Linked DNA regions of Cricetulus griseus. The protein of the gene in region 1 interacts with the protein of each later gene in a pairwise test. Links are inferred from orthologs where the notes say so. Each region holds a gene or a part of one and is shown on either strand. Other genes may lie near its edges.

What was found.
Region 2: the proteins of Cops5 (region 1) and Map2k2 interact in a two-hybrid assay, tested with the Homo sapiens proteins (2 studies listed by BioGRID and IntAct). The link is inferred for Cricetulus griseus from reciprocal best matches to the Homo sapiens genes COPS5 and MAP2K2.
Region 3: the proteins of Cops5 (region 1) and Gfer interact in a two-hybrid assay, tested with the Homo sapiens proteins (2 studies listed by BioGRID). The link is inferred for Cricetulus griseus from reciprocal best matches to the Homo sapiens genes COPS5 and GFER.

The regions. Positions count from the first base shown.
Region 1 is NC_048595.1:150,137,749-150,148,266, reverse strand, and holds the start of Cops5 (COP9 signalosome complex subunit 5), read right to left. Parts: upstream 5,254-10,518; 5' UTR 5,084-5,253; coding exon 4,776-5,083; intron 2,405-4,775; coding exon 2,170-2,404; intron 615-2,169; coding exon 486-614; intron 1-485. UniProt on the Homo sapiens protein: Probable protease subunit of the COP9 signalosome complex (CSN), a complex involved in various cellular and developmental processes.
Region 2 is NC_048598.1:101,892,811-101,902,537, forward strand, and holds part of Map2k2 (dual specificity mitogen-activated protein kinase kinase 2), read left to right. Parts: intron 1-2,542; coding exon 2,543-2,689; intron 2,690-6,045; coding exon 6,046-6,123; intron 6,124-6,579; coding exon 6,580-6,631; intron 6,632-6,704; coding exon 6,705-6,829; intron 6,830-6,919; coding exon 6,920-7,133; intron 7,134-8,398; coding exon 8,399-8,463; intron 8,464-9,210; coding exon 9,211-9,272; intron 9,273-9,727. UniProt on the Homo sapiens protein: Catalyzes the concomitant phosphorylation of a threonine and a tyrosine residue in a Thr-Glu-Tyr sequence located in MAP kinases. Activates the ERK1 and ERK2 MAP kinases.
Region 3 is NC_048600.1:44,281,580-44,291,890, forward strand, and holds Gfer (FAD-linked sulfhydryl oxidase ALR), read right to left. Parts: upstream 5,717-10,311; 5' UTR 5,605-5,716; coding exon 5,368-5,604; intron 5,037-5,367; coding exon 4,840-5,036; intron 3,935-4,839; coding exon 3,772-3,934; 3' UTR 3,227-3,771; downstream 1-3,226. Other genes in the region: Noxo1 (NADPH oxidase organizer 1), read left to right, coding at 5,859-5,953, 8,127-8,226, 8,320-8,400, 8,535-8,637, 8,725-8,902, 9,042-9,223, 9,434-9,547, 9,781-9,898 and 1 more.

The DNA.
Region 1 (10,518 bases):
GCTGGAGAGATAGCTCAGCAGTTAGGGGTACTTGCTGCTTTAGCAGAGAGACCTATGTTTGGTTCCCAGCACTCACATAGTGGCCTCCAACCACCTCTAACTCCAGGAGTTCTAGGGGACCCAATGCCCTCTTGTGGCCTCCATCGACACCAGCCATATGTGGTGCATATAGAGGAGGGGCATCAAATACCCTGAACTGGAGTTACAGATGGTTGCCAGCCTCTGTGGGGGGTGACAGGAATCAAATCAGGGTCCTTTGCAAAAGCAGAGACCCCATTTCTTTTTTTCTTTTCTTTTCTTTTTGGTTTTCGAGACAGGGTTTCTCTGTGTAGCTTCGGAGCCTATCCTGGCACTTGCTCTGGAGACCAGGCTGGCCTTGAACTCACAGAGATCTGCCTGCCTCTGCCTCCCGAGTGCTGGGATTAAAGGCGTGTGCCACCAATGCCTGGTGAGACCCCATTTCTTTAAAAAGAACAAGTACTTACCACCACAGCCACAAATGGTTCCTGGAACTGCTGGTTAAGCATCTGTGTACTAACATCAATTCCAGAGAGCCAGCAGCCGTAACCAGGGTGGCTATGATACCAGCCAATTGCGTTTTCAAGGCGTCCAACCTAAAATATGAAAGAAAAATCTTGTTTGAGGTATGGTTTAATCTCACAGAAAGTGTCATTTACAGGCTTTATGTAGTAACACTACATAAAGATAACATCGTGTAAAGATTTTCTGAATAGATGATACATGTGTACAGTGTAAAATTATCAAGGTACAAGAACAAGGGTATTTAGTCTCTTTCCCATATCCTTCCCCCTCCTCTACCTGTTTCTTAGCTTAGATATTATCCCTCTATTATCTTACGTACTCTTACAGAGATATTCTATAGATTAACAAACATATCTGTAAATAGTTGCATACTACATACAACATTCTACTCCTAGCTACCTATATTTTAAACTGAACAAACAATTCTGGAACTGTTCCATGTAAGTAAATACACAGATAGCTTTTTTTGAGGTATTATATAATTTTTTTTTCAGATTTTATTTGAATTAGAAACAAGATTGTCTTACATGACAATCCCAGTTCCCTCTCCCTCCTGTCCTCCCCTACCAACCTCCTCCAACCTTTCTGTTTCCCCTGGATGGTGAGGCCTTCCATAGGGTGTCATCAGAGTCCAGATAGCTTATTTTAAGAAACTAATTTATTTTTATTTTATTTTGGTGTTTTTCCTGCATCTTTATCTGGGTGAGGGTGTTGGGCCCTCTAGAACTGGACAGTTGCGAGCTGCCAGGCAGGTGCTGGGAACTGAACCTGTATCCTCTGGGAGAGCAGTCTTTGCTTTTAACCACTGAGCCATCTCTCCAGCCCTGATAGTTGCTTTTTTTTTTTTTTTTTTTTTTTTTTTTTTTTTTGAGACAGGGTTTCCTGTGTAGCCCTGGTTGTCCCAGAACTTGCTCTGTAGACCAGGTTGGCTTTGACTCAGAGATCTCCCTGCTGCTGCCTCCCAAGTGCTAGGACTTTAGGCAGTGCATTCACTTCCACTGCCTAAAGAGCTTTTTTTCTTTTCAAGCTTGCCTACATAGTACATTAATAGATGCCCTGCCATTTATTTAGCTGGGTTTCTACTGAGGAATAATTAATTCCTAAATTTCTTATTTATTAGTTCATTAATCCATTCATTTGTTTGAACTCAGGGCTTAGGAAGGCAGACATGAGCTCCACCACCAGTTACACCTCCAGTCTAACTTCTATTGTCTAAACACAACTGACACTGACTGGAAATTTATTTCAGAAAGACACCCTCTCCCCTGTCTGCCACTATCTATATTATAAATCTCACCAGACTTTTAATATTTTACATAAAATTGTTAAATTTAAAATATGAAATTGAATGTGAAAAGGACACTTTTAAGTTCAGAAACCCAGAATCTTGAGATTCTTAAGAGTTATTAAAGTTTTTTTTTAAAGATCTTATTTATTTATTATGTATACAACATTCTGCTTCCATGTATATCTGTACACCAGAAGAGGGTACCAGATTTCATAACGGATGGTTATGTGGTTGCTGGGAACCGAACTCAGGACCTCTGGAAGAGCAGTCAGTGCTCTTAACCTCTGAGCCATCTCTCCAGCCCGAGTTATTAAAAGTTTAAGCAACAATATTTTTACCTGTTTGGCATTTTCTATGTACGCAGCCATGTACTCATATGCAGCAGCCTGAGCATTTACTCGGGTCTCAGTGCCTTCTACAGGCAAAGCGAAACTGTCCATGATGATCATGGTCTCACCATCCACTTTCCCAAGCATCAAACCCATCACTTCCAAGTTGCCTCCTGATCGGGCATGCATCACCATTTTCAGTAGGGCCAGCGCTGAGATTTTGCAGTATTTAAAGTAATGGTGACTACAAAACAAAAGTCACAATGTTATTAAAGTTTTCATTTAAATTACAATCTCAAAAGACAGCTTCTGTGAAAATAAAGAATAAGTACCAAAGGGATTAACAGTGATGGGAATGCCAAATGTGGGAGGAAAAAGAAAACAGCAAGTACTAGGTGCCTGGAAACAGCACATCAGAGGTTGTAACCCATCACCCCCAAGTAAAGAGTCTAAGGTAATTTTTAATTATACTATCGGAGGGAATACCATCAAATTCCATAGTTTTTTTTCTCCATTAACATGGGATTATCATATCTCTGGTTACTTTCTCAGGCCTAAATTTCTGTGTATGGTACATGTTCATCGGTGTGCCACCAGATGGCATATGGAGATCACAGGGTGTCCCCCCTCCCCTTTTTTTTTTCTTCTGCTTTTTGAGATAGGGTTTCTCTGTGTAGCCCTGGCTGTCCTGGAACTCACTCTGTAGACCAATCTGGCCTCTGGACTTTCAGTGCTGGAATTAAGGTGTCTATTTCAGCACTTACTTATTGCCCTTTATTTTATTCCACTTGATTCCCTCGGGACAGATACTAACTGGAAGCTGATTGTTATGCCTAGGCTGGAAGACCAGTTTATAGATCTCTGCTCTCCTTCCATCCAATGCTAAGGATAACAACATACATATCCCTGCATGTGTTTATACAGTTGCTGGGGATTTGAACTCAGGTCTGCATGCTTAACAATTAGCACTCTTACCCACTGATCTGGAGGACCTAAAATTTACAAATGTGGCTTCTGAAACTGATTCGCTTAGGTTTAAATCTTGGCCAATTAACAGCTACATAAGTAGGTATTTCTGTAAATAGGTATTTCACAGTTAGTATGAAGAGTACATGAAGCGCTTAGCTTAGTCCCTGCAGCACTAAAATCTAAGGTGCTGTTACCAGCCTTACTAACCCATCTCTTAACATACCCTCAGTGTGCTGAAGCTGTGGCTTCCTTGTGATATCATCGTGAAGGTTAAAAAGTAGATGTAATATCCCCACTTTTCCTGTGATTATTTTGTCATCATTGTATGGGATTAAACTATTGAACAACAGACACATTTTAAAACCACTGATGTAGCTTACGTGTTCAGATGAGCATAATTAGAGGAAAGTCTACAGTTTACATCAATCTAAAATGTGCCTTTTAGGAACAATATGTAGGTAATCTATGCAGGTCACTCAGCATCTCCAAGGCTTTTCCAGCTGCTGCTAGATTTCAACCACAAGCTGAAAGATACTGAGACCTGGTCTTGGAAACCAAGACAAAAATTAAAAAACCGGTTCATCTTCACTGGAGAAAAAGACAAAGACAACTATTACTGTGCTCTCATTACATAGGCTCATCTAGAACTTTTTAATAAATTACCTCATAACATCACCAATAGCTAGGCTTGTTTTTATCTTACAGATAAATTTAGATATTTTAGTTTCCTAAGACCAGTCAATGTTTTAATTGACAGCTGTGAGACCTGATTTTCAGTCGGTTGCTCCTGGGTTCATTGCTATAGTATGATCATGAGGTGAATTTCTGAATGTATTTGCTTGTTTTCCTATTTACTGAAAAGGAATCAAAGTACAGTACTGGATTTTCATGATTACTAAAAGACATGAGAATCTTCAGGCCAGTGCCAGGCTCACATTAACTACTCAATAAGCACTGTGAAATAGAATAGACAGTGGAAGCTAGCTTTGTTAAGACAAAAAACCTGGAAACAGTGATTTGTTTAGACAGCATCTTTTTTGTGATTTTTTTTCAATGTCCTTAACACAATCTGTTCTAAAGAAATCTTTTGACTTGTCATCAGTCCCAGAGATACATGGATTTGGCTAGCTTTAAACCCTATTTCATAATTCCTGGTTTACATGAATCGTTGTAGTAGTATTTTAGAGAAGTGGTAAGGGACTTGGTATGTCCATAAAATGGTCACAGAAAAAAAAACTGCTAAAAGAGCTTATGGCTTCTTTGTTCTGAGATCAGTGGCCTGCTCATTTGACTTCTGAAAACAGCTGCGCTCTTCAGTTTGGGATTCACTGAAGGCTGCAACAGGGTGCATGTATCCACCAGGTTCAAGACAGAGTGTGGGAGATTTATAAAAACAATCCTGTTGAGAAAGTGATACCCCAAGTCAGTTCTTTACACCCTCTGGAACAAGTCTGTTAAAGAAACTTTCTGAAAGGGGAATCGAAGCAGGCCCCAGAGGAGGGGTTAGGCTCTACCGACCCGATAAGGCAGACTAAAAACACCGTGGCGGGTATTCTGTCGTCGCCCCCCAGAAAGCCACCCCGCTTGGGTCTCTTAAACTCCCGCCATCCCTTCCCTCCCTTGCGTCTCGCCAGGGACCTCCTCACTCCTTAGTCCAGGGTTTCGCCGCCAGGATTTCTTGCTGTTGTTTCTTGTCGTATTTGTAGATTTCATCGATACTCTGCGCTTCCTGCATGTTGTTGGCCAGTTCCCAGGTTTTCTGGGCCATACCACTCCCGGAAGCCGCCATGGCCGAGGGACCGGAGAAGTTGTCGCCTCCACCACCGAGATGCAACTTTCCTTCGCTGGGCCTCCGCGTGCGGGCTTTGCACCTTCCCCACCGAGGGTGCACACTCACTAGCCTCTCAAGGCAGCCATGACACTTAGGACCGGAGGTGACGTTGGTCCAGACCATTCGGAGGGTCGGGGCGCGTCGGCGGCGCGGCGGTACAGGGACCGCCGAGAGGCCGGTGAGCTAAGAACAGCTTGTCGGATGAAACGAGGATATGCTGCCTCATAAAACTGTGTGTGTGAGCTGAGAGGGAGACAAAGTTTCGGGGTGGGAATGGTTCAGCCTTCCGCGCCGGAAGAAGGGCTTGTTGACATGCCAGGAAGCAATCGGCCGTCCCTGCCCGTACTGCGCAGACTCAGCCTCCGCCATATTGAGAGTGGGCGGAGACTAGGTCTCGGACTTTTTTTTTTTTTTTTTTTTTTTTTTTTGTGTGTGTGTGTGTTTAGTTACTTCAAAAAATAGTTTTGATTACTAAATGTTTCTAGGAAAACCGAGGTGTAAGTAGCTCTGGATGTTGATTTTGGAGGGGAAGTTAATTAACCGTGACAATCTCTTTTAAGATAATTCTTGGCGTAGTGGAAAACCTCCCGGGTTTGAGGTTATTATTTCGCTTTTGTGTTTTCGCTGTTGTTGACCGGAGGGCAGCAAAAGTCCCCGGTTGCTAAGGTTAACTTTTTGACGTGTTTATAAAGTAACATGTATACAAATGTTAGGAGCTGTGGCTGCCTTAGTACTCTATTTTCATATAAAGTTTGTCTCCAGCTCTTGTGAACGTTGTTTGTTTCAGTACAGAATTAATCTCGGCTGTTTCTTTCCGCGGTTAAAGTGAAACTTGTTCCAGTCGTCATTGTTTTTAGGTTTTCTTCCCTCTCATTCCCAACCTCAAATGCTCACTAGGTTAGAAGTTAAAGGCATGCATGAAATTTGTGTTTGTTTTAATACTAATGTAATTATTTTTTGCTTATGAAAAAAAAACATAGCTCTTTGTAACAGTTCCTACAGACTTCTTCAGCGCCACTGTCTCCTTTTAGACACCCCCCCCGTCAGCTTTTCATTCTATTAGTACTTTTTCCTTGGCTTAGTAATATAATTCGTTGTTAAGTGTTGTTTGAAATGCACTTCCTGATATTTCTACAGTAAGGCACACACTATTCTTTAAAAATCACAGCTCAGAGATGCCTTCCATTAACTCTTTGAAAGCAACTGCTCCTTCCACAGGACCTCGAAGGCTTTGTAGCCGCTTGACATGGACGTTTTGTTTTGCCCAGCAAGCTTTGTGTTGTATCCTCTTTTATTGCAGGTTTTTAGCAGACAAGTTAGCTAAAAACAAAAACAGATTTGTTAACTCTTCGCCACAGCTGTTGGTGTTGACACTGGTTTCAGAAAAGATGGAGGAATTGGCTTTTTAACTACCTTCTAAAGTCGAGTGTTGTTGAACCTGCCTGTAATCCCAGACGTTGGGAAGTGGAGGCAGGAGGATAAGATAGTTCAAGGAAAGCCTTACATACATAGCAATTTGAGGCTAGCCTTGTCTGCAGGAGACCCGTCTCAACAAGTCACGGAGGAGGGGTTAAAAAAAAAACAAAGCAAGAACCAAAGAACCATATAGGACGTTGTTCCACTCTTGTAATCCCAGTACTTGGGAGGTGGAGGCTGGAGAATCAAGAGTGTGAGCCCTTCCCCCGGGCCAAAATAACAAAACCCAAGTTAAATAGAACCCCCTTCCAGTATAACTTAGGACACACTAGGGACGTTAGAATACATTAGTTGTATCATTAGTTCCGTTTTCCTGAGAAGCTAGACATCCAGCCACTGAAAACGTACACAGTGTAACTTGTTGAAATGGTAATGAAAGCCCAGGACAGAGTTGACCGGACCTGCTGGGCTGGGAGTAATGCCTGTGAGAAGAATGCTGAGAGTCCTCCTGTCAGTGCCACACAACCCGTGACAACTGTGCAGGCCTTCCCGTGCTGGGCGTCTGGGATAGATTGATCCTTGCAGCGGCGGCCACGTTACATTACCCACACCCCCATCCCTGACACTGTAGCGAGTGCATCGCGTGGCCTCCGGGACTGCAGGGGGCGCCCTCGGCCGCGTGGCCTCGACCCGCAGCCCGCAGGGGCGGGGCCGCGCCTGGCGGTTGGTGGAGGGCGGGCGGGGGGCTGGGCCTGGGAGGCGGAGCCAGAGCGGGCGAGCGGTTGCTTGGTCAGCGCCGGGGGTCGCGGTCGTTGACCGTGGAACCGGGTGCGGCTCCCCACGCGTCGGTGGGAGTAAGTCAGTGGGTGGCGGGCGTGGGAGCCTGCGGGTTGGGTCCGCGCCCGGGTCTGGGTGGCCGCGGCTTGGCGGGGGCTCGAGCCTGCCGGGCGGAGCAGGGGACCTTCGCGTCTTCGCGGGGGCGCTGCGGAGGGGGTCTGGAGGCGCGGGTCGCGAGGAGGCGGCCTGGGCTCCGTCCCAGGTGCGGGTCTCGCGGCTGCCAGTCCGGGGGCGGTGCCCTGATGCAAACGGGCGGTGGACTCCCGGGTAGCTGCCCGACCTGCTGCCCCGGGGTGGTTGAGAGCCGGTTGCCTGACAACGCGTTGACGCTTTCCGAGACATCAGCTACCCGCGACGCCCGCAGACAGTGCTGGCTCTCCCGCGCCTTCTCTCTCAGGCAGTCGCGCCGCGGCTGCGCTAACCCAGAGTGCTTGCACCTCCGGGGCTGGTTAATGTTTTTACACTCTGCAAGTCAGACTTCAATCTTCTCCGTATCTCAATGAAAACCTGCTGTGATTTATTTCTTCTTACTGTGATTGCTTGATGAACTAGAACCGTCTATTTCTTGATTTTAGTATTTTTATTTGGAATTTGAATATACGTTTTTGTTGTTTTTTTTTTTGTTGTTGTGTGTGTGCGCGCGTGTGTGAGCGCGCGGGGTGGGGTGGGGTGGGGGTGGAGCTCAGGCCACGACATGTATGTGTAGGTCAGAGGACAAAACTTTGGATTAGTTCTGTCTCCTTCCACAGGCTTTATAGAAAACCAGTTACACGAGAAGAAGTTGAATTTTATGTGGAAGATGACTTGTCATGTTGATATGCAAAAAGGAGCCCCGAGTAAAGTAGGGGGAGACACTGTCTTTTTTCCCCTTATTTTTATGTGAAATTTCCGGTGTGAAGTATCTGCTGACATGCTCCCATTGAGAAGATCTTTTGGATCTCCTTGCCCAGGGGTGATCTGGGAAGGGAGCAGATAGGTTTAGATAAAACAAACACTTTTCCTCGAATGTGGTTTTCATAAAAGCTTTGCTTAACTATTACAAACTTGAGCAAATTCCATACTATCATTTTGGTTGTGAGCCTAGCCTTTGATGGTTGAGCCATCTCACCAGCCCTCCACAACTGGGTTTTAAACATCATTCTGAGTATACTGTCATGTACTTCCTGAGTAGTAGACCCAAGAGTTTGAGTAGGAGACAGAAGTGTATTAGCAATTCCGCATAGCCAAAGCTACTTCATGTATGCCTGCCGTAACTGTTAAGGGTGTATTGATAAAAGCTCAAGCTTTAAATGCTGTCATGTATTTATTCACTCCCTGTTCTCCAACCTCATGCTCTTCCCTCAGCAACATAGCATATGCTTTTAAGCAAAATTTGGAGTGATTTGTTAAAGTTTGGATGTACCTGTAGTCAGTTCATGTGAATGTCATCTGCTAAGGAGAAGACAACTGTGAGGCCCTTTCTTGGTGGGTTGACGAGGAACTTTGTCTTTCCTTTTGTCTGCTTATAGTTCTTTCACAGGGGCCTTCCCTTGCTTCCTGCCTTATTTCTCTTATTTCTCTCTGAGGCTCCGTTCCCTAGTCCTCTTTTCCTGCTGTAGAGTCATTTTCTGCAGGCTGACCCCCCCATAGTTTTAACATTTTTGGGGGTATGATATATTTGAGATAGGGTCTCCCTATATAACCTAAGCTGTTATTCACACTTCACCCTCCAAAGTACTGGGATTATTAATGAGCCACCATACCAAACAAAGTCAGCTCCCCACCAGGTGTTGAGGATGGAATCTAGTGGCTCACACCTGCTAGTCAGTGATATCCTGACTAAGCTACAACCCCAGCCCAGTAACAAATAGACATACATACCAAAACCCAATGTCAACAACAATAAGAATGCTATTTTTTGGACAATGTCTTGCTATATAATATGATCAGGCTATGCTGGGACGTACTATATAGCTGATGAAAGCTCCGGACATAATTAAATTGTTGGTATCTTTACTGAATCCTTTAAAACTATCTCATTTGCTTCCCAAATCCCAGACTGACTAATCTGTCATTTGTGGCAGGGGATGTGATATAAATAGTAAGTCAAGGATCATGTATTTTATCCACCTTCTCTACAAATCTAGCATCCCTTGCAGTCTAGAATATATCCTGGTTTACAAGGGGAGTCATGTTCTATTTCTCATGCTTTCATATTGGGGAGAATATGTGTACTGTCTTACATTTCCCCTTGTGTTGACTTGGATTATGACAATCAAGGATCAGGTAATAATGATTTAAATCTCACTATACTTTACATCTAAAGCCTTTCCCTCCCTTTCTCTTATCACCCTGTTTCCATTTTTTTCTTGCCTTTTTCTTTTTTTGTGATCTTAAAATAGGTAAAGTAGGTTGAAAAGGTTAAACCTTTGGAAATTGATTGAGACTATTATGCATGCTAAGTACATGTTCTGTTTCTGAGCTGTACCTCCAGTCTGGATGCTTTTTAAAAAGTGAATGTTTAATTATACAGAGACTATGAAAATACAGTGACAGTAAAGTAACTGGCATAGTGATAAGTATCAGACTCTGTTACATATGTGATGAATTTTTTCATAACACTGTAGTAAGTATTTCCATTTTATAAATAAGGAATCCTAGACATCGTTAAAGAACATATTGTTTTTGTTAACCAGAATCAGTAAATGATGAATAATGGGTTTCTAGTCCAGGTCTTTTGTAGAAACTATTTTCCTGAAAACTATTTCTTATCTGCATACTATGATAGTAGCTACTAGGGGAAAGTACCTGATGATAATGCCATGGAAAATGTAACTGTACATTTTATAGAGTGTCTGGATAGTTTGGAATCCCATTAACCTTCTTTTTGCTGATTTGGGGGGTGGAATTTAATCCTTAAATTATAAACGTTCTTACTGTGTTTTATATCTAGGTCTTGCCTACCAATCTAGTCCCCTTTATCCACTCAGTAATTTGTGCATAATTTTGTGGCTGAATTGGTCTTGTATAAATTGTTGCACACTTTTAGGAATAAAGAGAAAAGCAGGGTTTAGGCCTTTGTGTTGCCAGGTACTGCTTTGGGGCTCACTGTGGTGTCCTGTTGACAATAAACAATTGTACAGAATATCAGCATTAAATAACACCACTGTATTTATGGGCATAAGATCACAAAACCACTCCGTGTGGAAACAGATCCCCAAGACTGGAGTGACTGTTGCTTCTTTACCAGTTACACTTTAATTTCATGCTGTAAGATTTCTCAAGATGTCCAGTCATAGACTCTTTTCTACTTCCTGATGGCAGAA
Region 2 (9,727 bases), on another chromosome or scaffold:
GCTGCTTCTCCATGGCCAGTGGCTTTTTTGCCTGGAACTTGTGTGACCCAGAGGCCATGTCTCCATGCCAACTGATCCCTACCAAGGGCAGCATGTGCAGAGCTGGTGTGTGTGGTTGTTGGGAGTTGGTGACAGACCTGTGGCACAGTGAGAGTGAGGCTAAGGCTGCGCTAGGATTGCATGCTCTTGGAAACATCCACATTTCATGGTCCAGGCTCTGGACTGGCTGCCATGACATGTCAAAGGTGGAGCCTCCTGAATCTTGCACTGTAGGCAGTACACATCTTGCAGACTCTGTTTCTAGTCAGAAAGGAAGTGAGATCCAACCCTTGCATCCCATCTCTACATCTCACTGACAGAGGAGGATGGCTCTGCTCAAGGCCTGGCCACACTTCCAGCAGGGGACACACAGAGACCTACAGTCAGGCCTGGACCAGGGGCAGTTCGGGTGTTTTCATGCAGTTCCATGTCCTCTGGGAAACTGGGGGCAGTACAACTCATTGATAACCAAACAGACCCTCAGCTGCTAGTCCCTACCCAGCAGGACTAGGGCAGAGAAGTTTCTGCATCAGGTAAAGAGATGACAGCCTTTCATGTGCCTCCTCCAGGATGTCCACACAAGATGGAGGTGGTAACACTTGCCCCTGGCTTCTCATCAGGGCGGTTGGCATGCTTGTGGGGGCTCACTGCACTGTCCACATTCCTGTCAGTGCTTCCTCCTCCACCTCAGAACTTGTGATGTCCCACCAGCATCAGATTAACTGTATCCAAGAAGCTCTGTGGTGACTGAGAGCCTCCCTCATCTGTGGCCTTGCCCTACTTGGAATGCCTGATGCACTCCGGGTCTCTGTTCTGCATTCGCTTCTATCTTGCCCAAGGTTCTCAGAATGGACCTGGACCTCCACAGGCCCGGGTAATGTGAGCACCAAGAGATGCAGTCCTACTCCACAGGCCCATGTGCAAACACTCTTAATTAGTAGGACTGAGGCAGAAGGCATGGGCTTAGCACAGGTGTTGGTTGGGCCTAGTGTTTGTGAGGCAGGGCCATGAGATGGTCCAGACCAGTCTGGGCTACTGTACTAGGCCTGATTCAGCTTTTGGGGTTCTAGAATGTTTGTGGTTCACAGATGAGGGATGCTCATCCTTTGTGTGTAAAATACCATTCTCATGTGTTTTACTTGCTTTCTGTTGTGGTTTGGCTTAGTGTGGTTTTGAGGAAACATTTTTGAGACAGGGTCTTACTACATAGTTGTGGTTATTTAGAACTCACTTTGTAGATCAGGCTGGCCTTGAACTCAGAAAGAGCTGCCTGCCTCTGCCTCCTGAGTGCCAGGATTAAAGGCGTGTGCCATTGTGCCAGGCTGGCAAAACTCTTGCTCTGTTGCTGAAGCTGACCTGGACTCCTGAGCCTCCTGAGGGCAGGGTCCTCAAGTGTGTGTCCCCATTCTGGGCTTCCATTTTGTGGTTTTATTTATTTTATTTTATCTTGGTTTTTTTCAAGATAGGGTTTCTCTGTGTATCCCTGTCTGTTCTGGAACTCAACTCTGTAGACCAGGCTGGCCTTGAACACACAGATTGCTTGTTTCTGCATTCTGTGAGCTGGGATTAAAGGTGTGCACTACCATGCCCATCATGGTTTTAACTTTTTATTTTTATTTATTTATTTTTTTGGGGGGTTTTTCGAGACAGGGTTTCTCTGTGTAGCTTTGGAGCCTATCCTGGCACTCGCTCTGGAGACCAGGCTGGCCTCGAACTCACAGAGATCCGCCTGCCTCTGCCTCCCAAGTGCTGGGATTAAAGGCGTGCGCCACCAACGCCTGGCTTGAACTGACTTTTAAAGAGCCCATTCCAATGATCAGTTATATCAGGCTCTGCCCAAGTGGCCATTTGGAGCAAGTCCTCAGATGAGGTGCCCCCTGAATCAGACCCCTTTTGGTATGTGTGTGCTGGGATGCTCTCCTTGCCTGACCCAGGGGAGGAGGGAGCATCATGGCGATGTGTTCCTTTGGCCTGTTGGGATGGATGTTGGTGTAGTGCCGAGTACCCTTGTTTGGGACTAACACCATCGCCTGGCCTTACTTTCCCTTTTTTTAAAAATCTTCATTTAGGCCAGTTTTACTGAAAGACTAAAAGCATTGCGTCCCCGGGGGCTGTTACCCTAGCCTATCTCAGGCACCTATGAATCCTCTGCCCATTTGTGGATTTGCCTGTTTTAGGCATTTCTTGTGGAGTCTTGTGTCTGGGTCTCTCACTGACCATGATGTCCTTATGGTCTCACCACATTGTGAGTGTCAGCTGCACTCCTGCTCATGGTGAATAATATTCCAGTGTGTGGGCAATCATGCTATGTGCCTGTCAACCATTTGGGAACCCTAATATTCCCCACTTTAAGCATTGGAAACAAAGGTACCTGGGCACTCATGTAAGGCCATGTAGGTGATGTCTTCCCTTCTCACAAGCATACGCCCAGGATTGGGTCTGTGGGGGCTTTGTGGCCAGAATACCCTTCCCCTCACTCAACAGCCACTCTTCCCCCTTGCAGCTGATCCATCTGGAGATCAAACCAGCCGTCCGCAACCAGATCATCCGGGAGCTGCAGGTGCTGCATGAGTGCAACTCACCCTACATTGTGGGCTTCTATGGGGCTTTCTACAGTGATGGCGAGATCAGCATCTGCATGGAGCACATGGTGAGGGCTCTCTGTTCCCATCCACCCTCCTTACCCACTGCTCCCGGCGGGGGTGTGGGGCAGTGGTGAGTGGGGCATGAATTTGTGGTCTTTGGGACCCAGGGCAGGATGTGGTCCCCACATTACACATGTGCCCACTGTGGGAAGTGGGTTCCTCTTCTAGTAGCTGTTTGTCATGCTCTGAGCTGGGGAGAATGCACTCAGGCACGTGGGCCCCAGCTTCAGATGGGAGCCTGCACTTCACTCTCTAGATAACAGTCTGGGTCTCCAGACTTGGGCAGGATGGAAGGGGGACAGTGAGAATCCTACCCTGTCTCTGCCATGCTCCCCAACCTGCTGTGCCAGGTGCCAGACCCCTGAGACTCACCTGCAAGGCTTGGCGGCTGCTGTGGTTCTCAGCTGTGCCTTGCCAGTGTGCAGACCCGGGGACCATTTTGTATGGGAAGCAGGGAGTGAATGTGAGCTTAGATGCACCTAGCTGGTGGGAGCCCCTCACATGGCCTTGGCCTGTCTCTCCCTTGAGCCTACCCTGTTTGCCTCAGGGAGGAGCAGGCCCGGGTGTGTGGCCCCCTCCTCCCATCTCTTCATAGATGTGTCGTCAAAGGCCTCCTGGTCCTCTGTAGGAAGGGGACTCTATCCTGTGTGTCAAAGAACTTGACTCTCACTGCCACAGTGGCTGGCAGCCCAGCTAGGCACAGTGCTACAGGAGTGCTCCAAGTCTGCAGGTACCTCCCACACTGGGCAGCTGTGTTGATATATGAGGCTCCCAGAGGCAGAAGGATTGCCTTGAGTTTGAGGTACTATCACAGAACAAAACAAAACCAAGCCAAGCAGTGGTATTTTTTTTACCATCTCAGTCTAGGGAGGCAGAGGCAGCAAGAGAGGAGTGCAAGACCATATGGACCCTGTCTGAAAGGATTGAAAAGAAGGCCACTCTGACCTTCCTTGCAGATGGAATTTGGTTGTAAATCGTAGATCACCTGCTATGGGTGTGTCCTGGGAGGAAGGGTAGCTTGGGGGTGGTGTTGGGTGGTCATTTGACTGGTCCTGGCTCTAGTCCACTTGCAGTTTTAGGATGCCACAGAAACTGTGCTTGGCTCCAGAGGTTACACTCAGTGACTGAGCCACCTGCTTAGCTCCTAGGGACAGGCAGCAGTGGGCTGTCCTCTCTATTAGTGGCTTGTGCTAGACAGCACACCAGAGAACCTGTCAATCACGGGAGAAGGATGCAGCTGTGGCCTTTGGTGCAGCTCTGAGTCCCACTTTATGGTGGTTCACATTCAGCCAGACCTTGGGAAGGGCAAGATGACACCCAGGCTATAACAGTACATGTGCTGTGGCCTGCCCTTGGGCTGACAGGACCTCTGTCTCCTCTTATATGCTTGTGTACACAGAGCGCTTGTCTCTGATATGTAATGTTTCAGCCCCATCTTAAGAAAAGGCTCCTGTGGGGTAGAGCTGTTCATCCCACCAAGAAGAAGGGGAGGGAGAAGTGGGGTCCTGCCATCCTCTTCCAAGGCCATACTTCCCACCAGGACCACCTCTCAGAGGCCACCTTCCTAGCTCCCACTGCAGAACCAGCTGTTACTTACTGTACAAGAGGAGCTGCTGCTGTGTGTCCTTAGGTATGACACAGCTGCTTGGAGCCTGCTGGGGTGCTCACACTGTCCTCCACAGTGTGTGTGGCAGCTGTAGAGGCGTGTCAGGGAGAGCAGAAGATTCTGCGACTCAGCCTGCTTCATCTGTGTTTGAGTCTTTCACAAGAAAATATCTGATACAGCTGGGCAGTGGTGGCGCACGCCTTTAATCCCAGCACTCAGGAGGTAGAGACAGGAGGATCTCCATGAGTTCAAGGCCAGCCTGATCTACAGAGCAAGTTCCAGGACAGGCTCTAAAGCTACACAGAGAAACCCTGTCTCAGGAAGAAAGGAAGGAAGGAAGGAAGGAAGGAAGGAAGGAAGACAAAAACAACAACAAAAAAGAAAATGTGTGGTGCTGTCTGTGATGTTGGCGTTTTCTCTGAGCTGCCAACCAGCTCCCACATAAAGACATGGAGACTTACTGTTAATTATGAAGGCTTGGCCTTAGTTAAGGTTTATCCCACTAGACTCTTTTAACTTAATTTAACCTGTTTCTATTCATCCTTTACCTTGCTTTCATTCTGTATGTCCTACTCCATGGCTGGCTGGCTGGTCCCTGGTGTCCTGCCTCCCCAAGTTGAAATTCCTCCTCCTACTTACTCTCCCTGCCTCAAAGTCCTTCCTGCCTATACCTCCTCTCTTGCTATTGACTGTTCAGCTTTTTATTAGACCAATTAGGCCTTAGGCAGGTAAGGAAAAACAGCAACACATCTTTACATAGTTAAACAAATATTTTGCAACATAAACAAATGCAACACATCTTTGTATAGTTAAACAAATAATCCACAACACTGTGATGGTGACAGTCTATAGAGCACTAGGGGCACATGCAGGGACTTGCAGGTAGTATCTGAAGTTATGCATCTTGCCCTGGACACTATGACCAGGCTATGATCATCCAAGCTCACACCCAGGGACTCTCAGCCATGCCTAGGGATGTGTATAGCTGTCACACTCAGGGAGCTCCTGGTGTAGAGTTGGGAAGAGGCCAGTTAGGCCTCAGCAGATAGGCCAGGCCCTCCTCAGCACCCCGCATGGCCCAGTGTGGCCTGACAGAAGCAGTCACCCCTGCTGCCCTCGGTAGACAGCAGCCCTGTCCTTTCCCCAGTGCCCAGCCAGGGCCACCTCCAATCTTGGGCTCCAGTGACTCTAAACAGCTGCACAGGCCCACTGGGAGGCCAGCCACCTGGGTGATAGTCCACCTGTGTGTCCTAGCAGCTCCAGATACGGCTGGGTTTTCTGGACCTGCCCTGTGTGTCCCTCTGAGCACTGTGGCAGGGGAGTACAGGAGAGGCCCCTTTCTGACCTCATCTTCTGAGGTCCTATTTTCCTGTGTCAGTTTGGAAATACACACAGGTGTGACAACCTGGACAGTATTTCCTTATCTGTTGAGTATAATCAGGCTGGTGCCCTGGGTGTGAGAAACAGCCATATTGGTGATCTGTGGGGCACAGCCCCCTGAGGGCAAATGGCTGTGAGTCAGGCCTGTCCCATCTTGTCCAAAGAACTCCAGTGTCACCACCTTTTCCCCACTGTTTCTGAAACAAGGAGCTGGCTCTTGTAGAGGTGTGGTCTGTCACCACCATCACTCAGGTTCAGGGCTCCACAGCCTCCCACACCACTCCCCTACCTGGGGACCTGTGGAGAGCCGAGGCTGCTGGTGGTTGGGCTTCTTGACAAGGCCAGCTCCTCAGCTGCTGCCATCTCTGCATGTAGGATGGTGGCTCACTGGACCAGGTGCTCAAGGAGGCCAAGCGGATCCCTGAGGACATCTTGGGGAAGGTCAGCATTGCGGTGAGTTTGCCAGCTGCTGGTGTTCCACCGGCAGCTTCTCCCTAGGAGACTGAGCAGGTCAAGTCCTCATCTTTTTGGGGTTCTCTGCTAGCCCCTCCATGACCACACAAAGCTGGCTATGGATCGAGCACCCATCCAGCATTTAGGAGACAGGCAGCCTGGTCTATATAGTGAGTTCCAAGTCAGATAGGGCTACAGACTGGTCATCTCAACAGTTGGCTGAGGCAGGAGGATTGCAGTGAGTTTGAGGCTACCCTTGGCCCTGTGCTTTCAAATATAGACAGTGACCATGTGCTTCCTACAGGTGTCTGTGTGGGGCTTGGGTATTTAATGTGGCGCTCAGCTGCCATGGCACTATTCTCCTGTGGTTGGGGAAGGTCGTTGCAGCCTAAAGCTGGTGCTGTCGGCACAGAGGTTACCTACCTCTGACCTGGCTACCGTGCTTCTTCCCTGCAGGTACTCCGAGGCCTGGCATACCTCCGTGAGAAGCACCAGATCATGCACAGAGGTAAGTGGGTGTGAGTGCGTGCGTGTGCACGCTGCCACAGCAGGCTCAGCCTCACCCCTTGCCGTGTCTCCAGATGTGAAGCCCTCCAACATCCTGGTGAACTGTCGCGGTGAGATCAAGCTGTGTGACTTCGGGGTGAGCGGCCAGCTGATTGACTCCATGGCCAATTCATTTGTGGGAACACGCTCCTATATGTCTGTGAGTGTCCTGGCCTCCTCTGCACACATTCTTAGTAGGGTCCCTGTCCTATTGCTGCCAACCCCAGCTCTGTACCTGTCTCCTCTCCAGCCAGAGCGGCTACAGGGCACGCATTACTCTGTGCAGTCGGACATCTGGAGCATGGGACTGTCGCTGGTGGAGCTGGCCATCGGGAGGTACCCCATCCCCCCACCTGATGCCAAGGAACTAGAGGCCAGCTTTGGCCGGCCTGTGGTCGATGGCGCAGACGGAGAGCCCCATAGTGTCTCGCCGAGGCCCAGGCCGCCTGGACGCCCCATCAGCGGTACGGGACAGGGCAGCTATCTTGGGAGGGACAGATATGGGACCAGCTGCCATCCTGCTGGGCCTTTCTCTGCACCAGCTGTCCTCTGGACGGGGCATGCTGTGGTCAGCAGTCCTCAGATGGTCCTAGGCTTCCTGGGGACAGAGCTGCAAGCAGTGAGCGTCTCACCCTAAAGGCCAAGGCAGCTGCACCTGTTGCTGCCAGCTGGAAGGCCGGAAGCTCCTCTCTGGGGCAGGCATTGGCCAGCTGCTGGGTTTCCCAGCATTTCCTCACGAAAATAAGTGGGGCTGGGGTGCAAAGGGAGCCAGTCACTGCCAGCAGCCTGTTCCTCAACCTGGTGACATCCCTGGGGCTAGGGCCTCACCTGCACAGGAAGCCAGGGGTCCTGCGGAGACATCCAGCCCTTTGAGTGGCCACCTCAGCCACTGGGGGTCGGGGCAGAGTCCTGGTGTGGGGACAGCCTGTGCAGAGTGCCAGGTGCTAGGATTTAAGCAGCTTGTCGGGGAGTGTGGACATTTTGTGACTGGAAACGGCTAAACTCTGAAGCTTGCTTCTTGGAGGCCCTGCCGCCCAGTGGTTAGTACATCCAGAGCTGGGAGAACCTGTCCCCTCTAGCTAAAGGAACTCACATGTTCTGATGCCTGGCCCTCAGTCCCCTCTAGACATTTCCTGTCAGGGAGTGCACACTGTGTGACTATGTGCCTTGGTCTCACTAAGCACAATAGGAAGTTGCTGTGTGTGGCTGGACTTGCTTGCTGTGTGTCCCTTTAATGAGCAGAGAGCCCCCTCCTGGCTGCGCATCCTGACACTGGATTACAGGGCATGTTCTTCAGCTGACTCCTTGATGGCACGGGGAGGGGGGTGGTGGGGAGGGGGGGCAGTCTTCTGGCGAGCTGTGATGGTGACACCCAGGCCAGCTCACTACCCTGCTGCAGCCTCAGTGCAGCACCCGTGGCTGGACAGGCGGACAGCACAGTTCAGCAGCTAGCCATCAGTGCCTTGAGCAAGGCTCACCACCTGTCGGCCCCCTGCTCCATGTCCTCAGCAGCTGCTCTGCAAGGTCATATCAGTGTCCTTGCTTAGTCACCAGACCCCTCCCCCACCTGCCAAGCCCTAAGAGTGCCAGGGGCTGTGACTGACTGGGCTGGGAGCACCCCCAGTTAGATGAGTGATTCCTTGGGATATGCCTGCAGGAGTGAGGCCAGGCAGGGGCACCCTCTAAGTTTTGTCTCCCCCAGTTATCTGTCCTTTGTCCTGCCAAGTAGGTCATGGGATGGACAGCCGACCTGCCATGGCCATCTTTGAGCTGCTGGACTACATTGTGAATGAGGTGTGTGCCCTTGGCCTTCGGAAACTTTTCTCAGGGAGTTACCAGACCCATTGTGGATGTTGCCTGGGGGAGGGAACTACAGCCCTGTTGCAGATGCTGTGAGCTAGGGACACCTGGAATACCCCACGCACACCCAATGAGGGGCTAGGTTTACTTCAGGACCTCACACACAAGGTGATGTTTCTTCATAGCACCCCTGTGGTCCCCACCTTCCCCAGTAGGAAGTTAGATGTGTTTGGGTCCAGAGAGCTCCTGGAGCAGGCTTGCTTCTGACCTACTACCCTTGTACCTGAGGCTAACGCAGGAGGATGGCCTTGAGTTCAGTCACATAGTGAGTTCCAAATCAATCTTAGCTACAGTTCGAAACCCTGACTCAAAAGGATAAACTGCCGATAATGGAACAAAAAATCCAAGCCTGTCTCAAGAAGGAACCAAGGTCATTTGTGGATGTACATCCCCAGGACAAAGAGTCACTGGTGAACATGGGCTGTGGACCCTCCTGGCCAGCTATGACTGAGCCTGGGTGACAGGGTTGCCACTGTTCCTGGCAGTGACTCCAGATCAGCTACTGCTTCTCCCAGGAAGTCCTGGAGCCACGCTTCACAGGAAGGGCTCCACCTGTACCACAGGGCGTCTCCGCCCACCAACTTGATGGTATTGAAAAGCTAAACTGGAGAAGCTCAGCACAGTGATTGAGTGGCCAGAGTCCCTGCAGCCACCCAAGTGACCCTTCCCTGTCCTTCACAGCCACCTCCCAAGCTGCCCAGTGGTGTGTTCAGCTCGGACTTCCAGGAGTTTGTGAATAAATGGTGAGGTGGGGCCCCGGGGATGGGTGAGGCAGCTCCACACTCCAGCCATTGGCTCCTGGGCCAGCTACTATGTGCAGTTGGGGGTCAGTGTGTCCCCCAAACCTGGGGGCCTATGCACGGCCCCTGGTCCTGTCCCAGAGGTCCCACCCAGTGGACATCTGTTGGGGGAGGTGGTTAGCTGAGCCTCTGAATCCTCAGTCCTTGAAGTTTGGTCAGCTGTAGTGAGGTGTTTTCTGAACACAATGGGGCCAGGAGGCAGGCTTCTTGTGTGCTGAGTAGTAGAGTTGCAAGCTCCCTCTGCATTCGCTAGTTCATTAGAAATTTAGTTGGGGGGTGGGGGCTGGGGTTGCACTCCTGACATCCCAGCACTCTGGAGGACAGTTATCCTCTGCTAGTGAGTTCAAAGGCAGCCTGTGCAACATGAACCCAAAAAGAGTTAAAAATAAATAAATAAA
Region 3 (10,311 bases), on another chromosome or scaffold:
CCAGGACACGACCCTCAACAAGGTCTGGGGACGCCGCGCGAAGCTCACGGGATCCAAGGCAGCTCCCGCACGGCCCGCGCCGAAGGAGGCTCCCTCCATGGCGGGACCTGTGCCTTCTGTCCGTTTGTCCCGCCGACCTGCCCGAGACCGCCCGGGGCTGCTGCTGAGGCTGCTGAGGCTGCTGATGCTACGGATGCTGCCGCTGCCGCTGCCGCTGCCCCGCCTCCCGGGAGCGCGCGTCGGCTGCGGCGGGGGCGCGGGCGGGGCCGAGCCAGCGCCCCCGACTGGGTCCACGCGCTGGGGGCCTGAGCCCTGCCCTCCGTCCTTCCTGCTCACCGTTCCCTGTATGACAGAGTCGGAGATGAGGACATTCTCTGGAAGACTAAACGAGGTTTAGTCATGGGTTTTAGAGGTAGACAAGAGAAGGTAAAGACTGACTGAGCTCAGATCTTGCCACGGCCAAGAGCATCGATAGGACAAACACATCATCCTGCTTTTCTGACCAGGAGGACCTTTTGGTGAGAATGTAATGGGAAACTGAGGCATAGTATCATGCCCTTTGTATTCAGGGAGAGAGACCCAGCCCCCAGCCCCTAGTCTTAGAAGACCGGGGGTAAATCACTGGGGGCCTTTCTCATTAGCCCTTTAATCATGAGAGAAAATCAAAGAACACCTAAGGAAAGAAGACCCTGACCTCTCTCTGGCTGTGAATGAATAAAATATCAGCTCAGAGATGTTGTACACACTTGTATTGCCTGTGGCTCACATCCCCACTGCATTATGGCTTCTCCTTCACAGGCTGTACCTTCCTAACAGGGTCAGGTGAGAAGAGTGGTGTCTGCCTTCAGGGGAACTTGTCTGGGAGGCAGACAGGGTCCACTGTGGCCAGCAGGAGTGAAGGGTGAACATCTCTGTTCTCTTCTGGCTGGGTCATGTCTTCCATAAACTCTCTCCATCTCTGGTCTCCAGGATTGATCTGTAGCTATTTAATCCTGAGTGCAAGGAGGGGAGAAGTAGCAGAGATAAGATCTTGTCCCAGATGTTATCTAGTTACCCTGGCCCCTGCTGGGAATCCCACAGACCCACTTTATGCTCTTTCAGTGCCAGGATGGTAGGAGACCGAATGGCTCTACCTTCATGGTCACAACAGAAGCTGGGGTATAGTAAAAGATCATGAGTGAGACCCCTAGTTGTCTCTCTGTCTTCCCTGGGACCAGAGCCAGGTATAAGCAAAGTTTACACATATTAAGACTATGCAGTGCCAAGCACTTCACTGTGACCTGTTCATTCGTCAGAGGGAAGTGTAGCTGGAAGTACCTGGTCCAGTCCCTCAGGAAACCCACTGGTTCTGGTATGAAACACACTTCAGCCTAGTTGGACACAGATGCAGTCCATCAGTTTGGGCAACTCTCTGATACCTCAAATCACATTCCATCCCATCCTCTTTTAGCCACGGGCAGAAGATGTTACCACCCATTTCTCCCTTTTCCTTCATAATTTTCTTCAGCACCCAAAAATACAGCACATTCTTTGAAAAACAGTTCTTTTGGGCTGAGAATATAGCCCAGTGGCAGAATGCCAAACAAAAAACTTTTGGTTACACTTCTGTGTACAGGAAAAAAAAAAAAAAAAAAAAAAGCTATCTAGCTGGGCGTTGGTGGCGCACGCCTTTAATCCTAGCACTCGGGAGGCAAAGTCAGGCGGATCTCTGTGAGTTTGAGGCCAGCCTGGTCTCCAGAGTGAGTGCCAGGATATAGACTCCAAAGCTACACAGAGAAACCCTGTCTCAAAAAAAAAAAAAAAAAAAAAAAAAAAAAAAAAAAAAAGCTATCTATTACCCATCTATTTCTAGTATCTCTCTCCCTTCCCCCCCTTTCCATCAAAACCCCCAGTATGATCAAGCCCCTACCCTGCATCTGGCCAGGCACTTCCACCTGCATTTCAGAATCAAGTTTGACTCTCCTGGTTCATCCATACAGCATATACCTCCAATGACTACCTCATAGCCCCATTCCCATTGCTGGGAATAAAACCCAGGGTATTATGCATGCCAGGCAAGCATTTCCCTCTGAGCTACATCCCTAGCCATTATGAACTTCTTGAAAGTCCCTTTTCTGTCCTCCATTTGCCAGATCTGTGGGCTTGTGGGGCCTTGGGACCCTTCTCCCTCGGTTGACAGGGTCTCACTATGTAATGTTGGGATTAAAGGTGTGTGCCATCATGCTGCACCCTTAATTCCTTTGTGTTGCCTCTCGTGCTCTGTATGTGCTGGCAGCTCTCAAATGCCAGCTCAAACTATAACCTTCCTTTACACTAACTACAGTTCTACTTGTCTTCTCCTGGATGCCCTGTGAACAGGGACAAAATGAAGGTTTTGATTTTTTAAAAATACATGTATTGAGTTATTGGTTTCCCCTCTCTCATTCTCAGGTCATTCATACTGACCTGGAACTCAGTATATAGACCAAGCTGGCCTCAAACTTCACACAGAGATCCAACTACCATAGTCCTCAGTGCTAGGGCTAAAAGTAAAGACATTTGTATGTGTTTTGAACCAGGCAGTGGTGGCACATGCCTTTAATCCTATCACTCAGGAGGCAGAGGCAGGTGGATGTCTGTGAGTTCCAGACCAGCCTGGTCTACAGAGTGAGTTCTAGGCCAGCCAGGGATACACAGAGAAACGGGGGCGGGGGGGGGGGGATCAACAGACAGGGACAACAAATAAATGTTAAGAGTGCTTGGCCTGAATGTATTTGTGTGGGCTTTTGTACCTGGTACCCATGGAGGTCAGAAGGTGTTGAATCCCCTGGGACTAGAATTGCACATGGTTGAATCACTATGTGGGTGCTGGAAAAGTAGCCAGCACAAGGAAGTCATGTGCAAGCTAGTCCTCACCCACAAAAGGGCCAACACAGGAAAGAATGATATCTTTATGCTGAGAACTGGGGCTCCCACTGCTGCTGGGATGCTCTGGTTGGGAGCCTAGCCCAAGGACAGATGGAGCTGAGCAGATTCAGAAGAGCCCAGCAACTAGAAGGTGTACACTCAGAATCCAGAAGCCCCCTTGTCATCTTCAGCTTCTTTCTCACCATGAAGAGCTTGTCTCAGCTGCTCCATAGTGACTTCTGCCAGAACTTCAGACAAGAGGACCCAACTAATCACAGACAAGCAAAAGCAGGCCTGTCCATCACTGTAATTCCCAGTACAAAGCACACAGAAACCAGGCCCTAAGTCACTTCATTTTATTTTGGTCTCAAACTCTCAGAAGTTCAGGATCATCTGATCCTGGATCTGCTGACAGGCATGTTGTCATAGCTGTAGACCATGTGCCACAGGCAGTGGGCAGTATGGTGGGTACACCCTAAGTAAAAAGTCCTACTAGAGCTGGGGACAGAGTACAGAATAGACAACTCAGTACCATGCTTCAATTCTGAAATGGCACAGAGCTGCCAGTTCTGTAGGCACCCCTGGTTATGCAGTAGGAAGCCAATGGTCCACCCCATCTTCCTACGGGGCAGCTATGTCCCAAGTGTATAATGGGCAAGAGGCTGCATTATAAAGGGTATAGGGTAGCCTCTCTCATCTCTAGTCCCTGGGCACCTCCCCTTCTTAGCCCTGTGGGTAGGGTTCCCATTGGCAGTGTCCTAGGGACCCCTCTCCAAACACGGGAACAAGCTTTGGCTCAGATGCACTTTAATCAGCGGGCTGTCCCTCCAGCCAGGTTGCCCATGGACCCTGGCTAGATGTCCCACATGCTCTGCTCACAATCTTCTAGTCACAGGAGCCGTCCTTCCAGCCGTCACGCCATCGCTCATCTACCTTTGAACAGTCAAAATCAGGCTTGCCCAGCTTCCGATTCACCTCATTGTGCAGGCGGCACAGCCACTGGCTGAAGGAGACTCGAGTGCTTGTGTCTGGCTGGTTCCTGCCTATCCTTTGTGACAGAAGCACAGGAAGAACATAAGATGTTGACTCCTTTGTCCTTGCTAGGGCCCAGGACAGAGAGCTGGGGCACTGCTTTGAATTAAACTTGGGGATGCCTCTATGCTCTAGGGGGATGTGAAAGCCAAGAGCAGGGTTGACTCTGGAGTTTCCTGGACTTGTGCAACTCCCAGGGCTGCTCACTCGCTCACTTGACTTGGCAAGAGCCCAGAATTAAGATTATAGTAAAGCAGGCGACTTTACAACCTTGTAACAATCAGGGAGCCTCACCCCATGGTCTCTAGCCCCAGGCAGAGTATAGACAGGTGGGGCCTGGCACAGTGTTTCTTGGCACCAGAGGCCTAGTTCAGCAAGAGATACCCTTCATTCCTAACTACCCAGGCTTCAAATAGCAAGTGCAAGTGCCTAATAGGTCCAACCTAGAAATACCTATAAAGAACAGATTAAGTTAAGCCAATGAGTGAACCAAGTTTTTTTTTTTTTTTTTTTTTTTTGTGTGTGTGTGTGTGTGTGTGTGTGTGTGTGAGTGTTGGCTAGACCAGGCTGGCCTCGAACTCACAGAGATCCACCTGTCTCTGCCTCCAGAGTGCTGGGATTAAAGGCATGGGCCACTAACGCCAGACTTTCATTCCCATTTTTAAAATCGGTAACCACACCGAGAGATTAGAGAAGTTAAGCAACATGGAATCTTAGCTAATCTTCCTAAAAATTCTAAGGCTAACAATTCACAGACCTAGGCTCTGAGGAGGAAGGAGAGGGCTCCCATGACCCAACATTCGTTTGAGTGGTCCCTCTTCTAGCAACCTGTCACCTCTGCATCTATTTTTCTAGTCCCCTCTCTATGGCATCCGCCAGGCCCCTTTCAGGGCCTTACTGGCAGAGGTAAGGCACACTTACCTCTTCCTTATGTCTTCCGCACACTCCTTGCAGGGGTAAAACTTGGAAAATATATGTATGAACTGGGCCATATCTCGCTGTTGTTCTGGGGTGGGCATGTCCGGGTAATAGGCGGCCAACGTGTGGAGAAAAGCCCAGGTGTGGCGACCCAATTCCTCCCGATCCTGCGGACAGTCCTCCCTAAACTTGATGTCCCGCTGCAGAAGTAGGCCGACTACGGGTCAGTTCATTCTTCCCCAACCAGAAGCCCACAAAATTCCAACCCAGTGGCAGATTGCTTGTGTTGCACGCCAGAGGCCTTGGGTTCGGATTCCCAGTATCACCAAAAGAATAAAGGAAACAAGAATGCTCCCCTTTACAGTTGGCAGCCTAGTAAACTGATCGGCCAGCCAGTGGCTGAAGGCTCAAAGTCCGACCCTAGGGGTGTGTGTGGGTGAGGGGGTGGACATGTTTAGGCATAGCCAACCCTGAGGAAACCCGGTGTGGGGCGGGGGACCGGGACTGGGCGGTCAGGCGGGGTATCTGCACCTTCTGCTGGGTCCGCATCCACGACTTGAAGTCCACGCAGGCTCGGCACGGCGGCTTCCCGTGCTGCAAACCTTGCGGCCCCGGGGCTGAGGCAGAGGCCGCGGCGTCCCTATGCCCGGTGCGGCGGCCCCGCGCGTCAGTCACCAAGTCGTCTGTCATCTCAGAGCGCGCGCCGCCGGGCAGGAAGGAAAAGAGACTGCTGCGAGAGGCGCCCTCGGGCTCGCTGGGCGCCGCCATCTTGCCGGCGTACAGACGGCGGGGCCAAGAGGGCCTCCAGAAGGCCGGCAGGGCGAGCGCGCACGCCACTGCCAGCGCGCGGCGGCTGGAGCGGGAAAGGCGGCCGGGGGCCGAGCTCACGCTGGGGAAGGAGGCGGAGCCTGGCGGCGGGGCGGGGCTGGGGGTCGAGGCGGCGGCCCGGGTCTCGGCGGAGTCGGAGGCCCCGGCGCCGGAGGAGCCGGAGCGGGAGGCACGGGCCGAGGCGGCATAGGGGGATGCGGCTCGGGCTCTGGTTGTCCGCCGCGGGCCGGGCGTGCGTGGTGCATGGGGGAGCTCGGGTTTCCTCCCGCAGTGTAGTGAGTTGTGGAAGGTGCGCTGCGGCCCCGCTGGGAGGTCGGGCTGAGACGAGGTCTGAGATGCTTCTCTCGTCGCCCCCATCGCTCGGTTCAGACCTTTACCCGCTAGCGGCCAAGGTTGGGGCCTTTCTGGCGTACAACGCGCCCACCTACACGCTTCTGGGTGCTTGGCAACGCGCGGCGGGGCGTGGCCTCACAGAGCAGGCAGCGCCAATGGCCTGGGTCGACTTTTGCCCTAGTTACTGGGCCCCGCAACTTTGGGAGAGGCCTGGGACGCGTCCTATAACATTGGCGGGGGGAGGTTATTATGCCTATTTCAGCCTCAAGAATTCCTTTTTTTTTTTTTTGAGACAAAGTCATGTAACTTGGACTAACTTGGAATTCTGTTACGTAGCTGCCACCTCTTCTAGTACGTGACTTAGAAGCCTGGGCCATCACAGGAAGAATTCTTTTCCCTCTTCCATGTGTTCATTTATTCATTCTGCAAATATTTGTACAGTGGTACTCTGCTCCAAGCGCTGTTTCCGGCACTGAACAGAACAAGGAACAAGCTTCCTTCCCTAGCCTCTTTAGCCTTTGACCAGTAGTGAAGATGGGGAAAACCCAGTCACAGAAATAAATTTTATTTACAAACTGATGAAAGCTGGGTATAGGGTGTGGGAATATAGCGCTCCTAAATTGGAGACCCTTAAGCACAGGCCCCATAAAATGAGAAATCAGCTCAGGCTATCGCATTTTGCAGAAGCACCAAAGGCCACTGGGGGCAGGACTCTGGGAAGGTAGGAGGCCAGGATCCAGAGCTGGGCAATGGCCCACCAACCATGCTAGAAATTGGGATTTGTTCTAAAAGCAGTGGGAGACGTTGGGCAATTTGGGACAAAACTGTCTTGGCCTGATCCCATTTCTACTTTGCAAGATTTCTTCTATTTTTGTTAGAGTGATATTTTTGACAGAGTTTCTCTGTGTAGCCTTGGCTGTTCTGGAATTCGCTCTATAGGCCAGGCTGATCTCAAACTCAATAGATTCTCCTGCCTCTGCTTCCCTCCCGAGGGCTGGGATTAAAGGTGTGCAGAAGCAGATCTCCGTGAGTTCAAGACCAGCCTGGTCTACAGTGTGAGTTCCAGGACAGTCAGAGCTACCCAGAGACCCTGTCTCAAAAAACAAAAGTGTGATCACCACTGCCCAGCTTTTTATTTATTCTTATGTGCACTGGTGTTTTACCTGCATGTATGTCTGTGTGATGTCAGATCCCCTGGAACTGGAGTTACTGACAGTTGTGTGTTGCCATGTGGGTGCTGGGAATTGAACCTGGGTCCTCTGGAGGAACAGCCCAGTGCTCTTATCTGACTCATCTCTCCAGCTGGGTGGATTAAGAGACAGGGAGGAACTTCTTACTAGACAGAGTTGGGGCTCCTCTGTGTACATCTCAGTGAGAGTAAGCAGGTGGGTGATGAGAGGGGCTCACAATTCCTCTAGGTCCCTAGTGGTAGGTACTCAACCCTTTACTACTGCTCTCATCTTCCATTGTCTCTGAAATAGCCTGTATGTAAGAACCAGTTGCTTAAGGAGATGTCAAGGTTTGGCCAAGGAAGGAGGTAGGTTTCATGGCCTAGTTACATGGGTCTCAACCTTAGCTGCTCAGGAGCCTGAGGCAGGAATATCCCAAGTTTAAAGCCAGCCTTTGCAAGTTAGCTAGCAAAACCCTGTCTCAACCCTCTGCCCCCCCCCCAAAAAAAAAAACCTAACTTAAAAGGACCCAGGTGTGAAATACTTGATTCAGATGATAGCAATGTATAGCCCCACAGGCAAATTCAAAAATCAAGCTGTTAGACACACCCTGGGAGTTACAGCAGGGTGGGGGAAGAGGCAGAGGGGGCAGGTGAGGTTGAGGCGGTACTTTAGGAGGAGCTGCCTACCTCCATTGTTCCCTTGGCTGAGGGAGAAAAGGAGCCCCAGGTGGCAGTTCCAGCCCCTTAGAGTTCTGTTTCAGTACAAAGGGCTTCATTTTTTCCTCCTACCTGCCCTGGCTTACCCCTCCCCCTAGCACAGTCCTGCTGTGATGAATTCTCTTAGATTTTGTGCTTGAAGAATAACCAGGAAACTGAAAGGTTTCCAGGTGTGTATGCTCTGCAGGGACAGTTTAGGGCAGTGTTGGGAAATTCCACTTCACTTTTTCCGGCTGCTCAGAGCCCCTACAAGCACCCTGCAGGAGGCCACAACCATGGCGGGTCCTAGACACCCAGTATCAGCGCATGCTGTAGCCCTGGTGCAGATGGAGCGACTTCAGGTAGGACCATACAGCCCCATCCTCCGCTACAAAGAGGCAGAAGGGTAGCTGACAAAATCTTAAGAGAGACGGAAACTCAATCTTCCCTCATAGACATTTGCCTTCTCTGTGCACTGGTCAGACAACAGTGACTCGTCTGTTCGCCGGAGCTGGGATGAGTTTAGGAAGCTCCAGGTAAATAACATGGGACTATTTCAACAGGGTGGCTCATCCTCCAATCCAGAGGCCAATAGCTACATGACCTCCCTTCCTGCCTGTAGCTCTCTCAGGGACTCTTTCCTCCCTTTGGGGGTTCTCTCCACTTTCAGGGACTGACACCCATTTCTTCCCCTCAGAAGATCCTTAAGAAAACCTTCCCAGTGGAGGCGGGCCTGCTCCGGAGATCTGAAAGAGTTCTTCCCAAGCTTCCTGGTCAGGCTTGCAGGGGTCACAGGGGTGGTCACAGGGGTAACAAGTGTGGGTGAGAAGTCCCAGTGTGTTCTTGTGACACCCGGGCAGATGTTCCACTGCTGACACGTCGGGGGCATACTGGCCGAGGTCTGGTACGTTTGCGACTGCTGGACACCTATGTACAGGCACTGCTGGCAACCTCAGAGCATGTATTGAGGAGCTCAGCACTCAATGACTTCTTTGCACCAAAACCTCTGGATCTGAAGCCCATGCTGCCTCCTGGCAGGTGACTAATGTACCCTACTCCCAGCCCATGTTCTTGTTGGAAGGGCAGATGAGAAGCTGGGCTGGCCTATGTATAGATGGGGAAGGGGAATTCCCATCCTTTCTGCTTGTTTCTCACGTGTGTTGGCTGCCCTGCCCAGCCTGGTGATCTTGCCCACACAAGAGGAGCCCTTATCCCAACCTGGAAGCAGCCTTGCCATTCATAACCTGGAGGCTCAGAGCATGCGCTGTCTACAGCCTTTCTACACCCATGACACAAGGGACAGGCCTTTCCACACACAGGCTCAAGAAATTCTGGACGTATTACTACGACATCCTTCAGGTAGAACCACACAGTATTAAGAACCTGGGGAAAACTGGGCAGTGGTGGCACATGCCTTTAATCCCAGCACTAGGGAGGCAGAGGCAGGAGGATCTCTGAGTTCCAGACCAGCCTGGTTTACAAAGCAAGTTCAAAATACAGAAGACTTGCTCTCTGATCAAGATGGGTGCAGGCCTTAGCATTTAAGCCCTTTCCTGGCCTCTTCAACAGGCTGGTGGCTGGTGGAGAACAAGGATCAGCAGACAGCCTGGTTTCCAGCTCCCTACCTGGAGGAAGTAGCCCAAGGCCAGGGCCAGGAGTCAGACCTGGCTTTGCAAGGCTGTGGTATGAGTTCACCCCTACCATAAGCTCACCACTAAAAATGGACCTTGTGGCAAGGCTGAGACCAAGCCCAGGAGGGAGGTGATAGTGGGGCACCAGGCATATGGGTGCTGCTTACAGTCAAGAGAAAGTTCAAGTGGGTTTCAGAGCAGTCCAGGGTATCTAGAGGGAAGATCAGGGAAAGGTCAGGACTCTGGCCTTGCAGTTCTTTAGTGATCTCCAAACACCTACCCTAGGGACGCAGTTCTGTGCTACCCAGGCCTATGAGGGCAGTCGCACTGATGAGCTATCAGTGCCTGCAGGGGCACGTGTGTATGTGCTGGAAACCTCAGACCGCGGCTGGTGGCTGTGCAGGTACATGTGTGTATGTGTGTGGTGGAGAAGTGGCGGGTGCTGCCTGGCAGGAGGGGCACATAACATCAGGTAAATCCTTAACCCAACCCTGCCTTTCTTATAGGTACAACGGACGGGTAGGCCTGTTTCCTGCAGTGCTGCTGCAACCTGAAGGGCTGGGCTCCCTCCTGGGCAGGCCAGGGCTCCCAGATAGTGGGAAGGAAGACAAGGTGACCAAGGACAGGATTGTTCCCCCTGTAGTACCAAGTCGCCCCTGTATGAGTGCCATCCAGAGCCGATGCTGCTCCATCACCTGCAGGGCACTGGGACAGGACCAAAGGACCCAGGGTCCCTTTTGAGGATTTGTGTAGCCCCGCAGAGAGGTTATACTGTCAACCCCAACCAGAGGCAAAGCAGGGATCCAGACCTGTCAA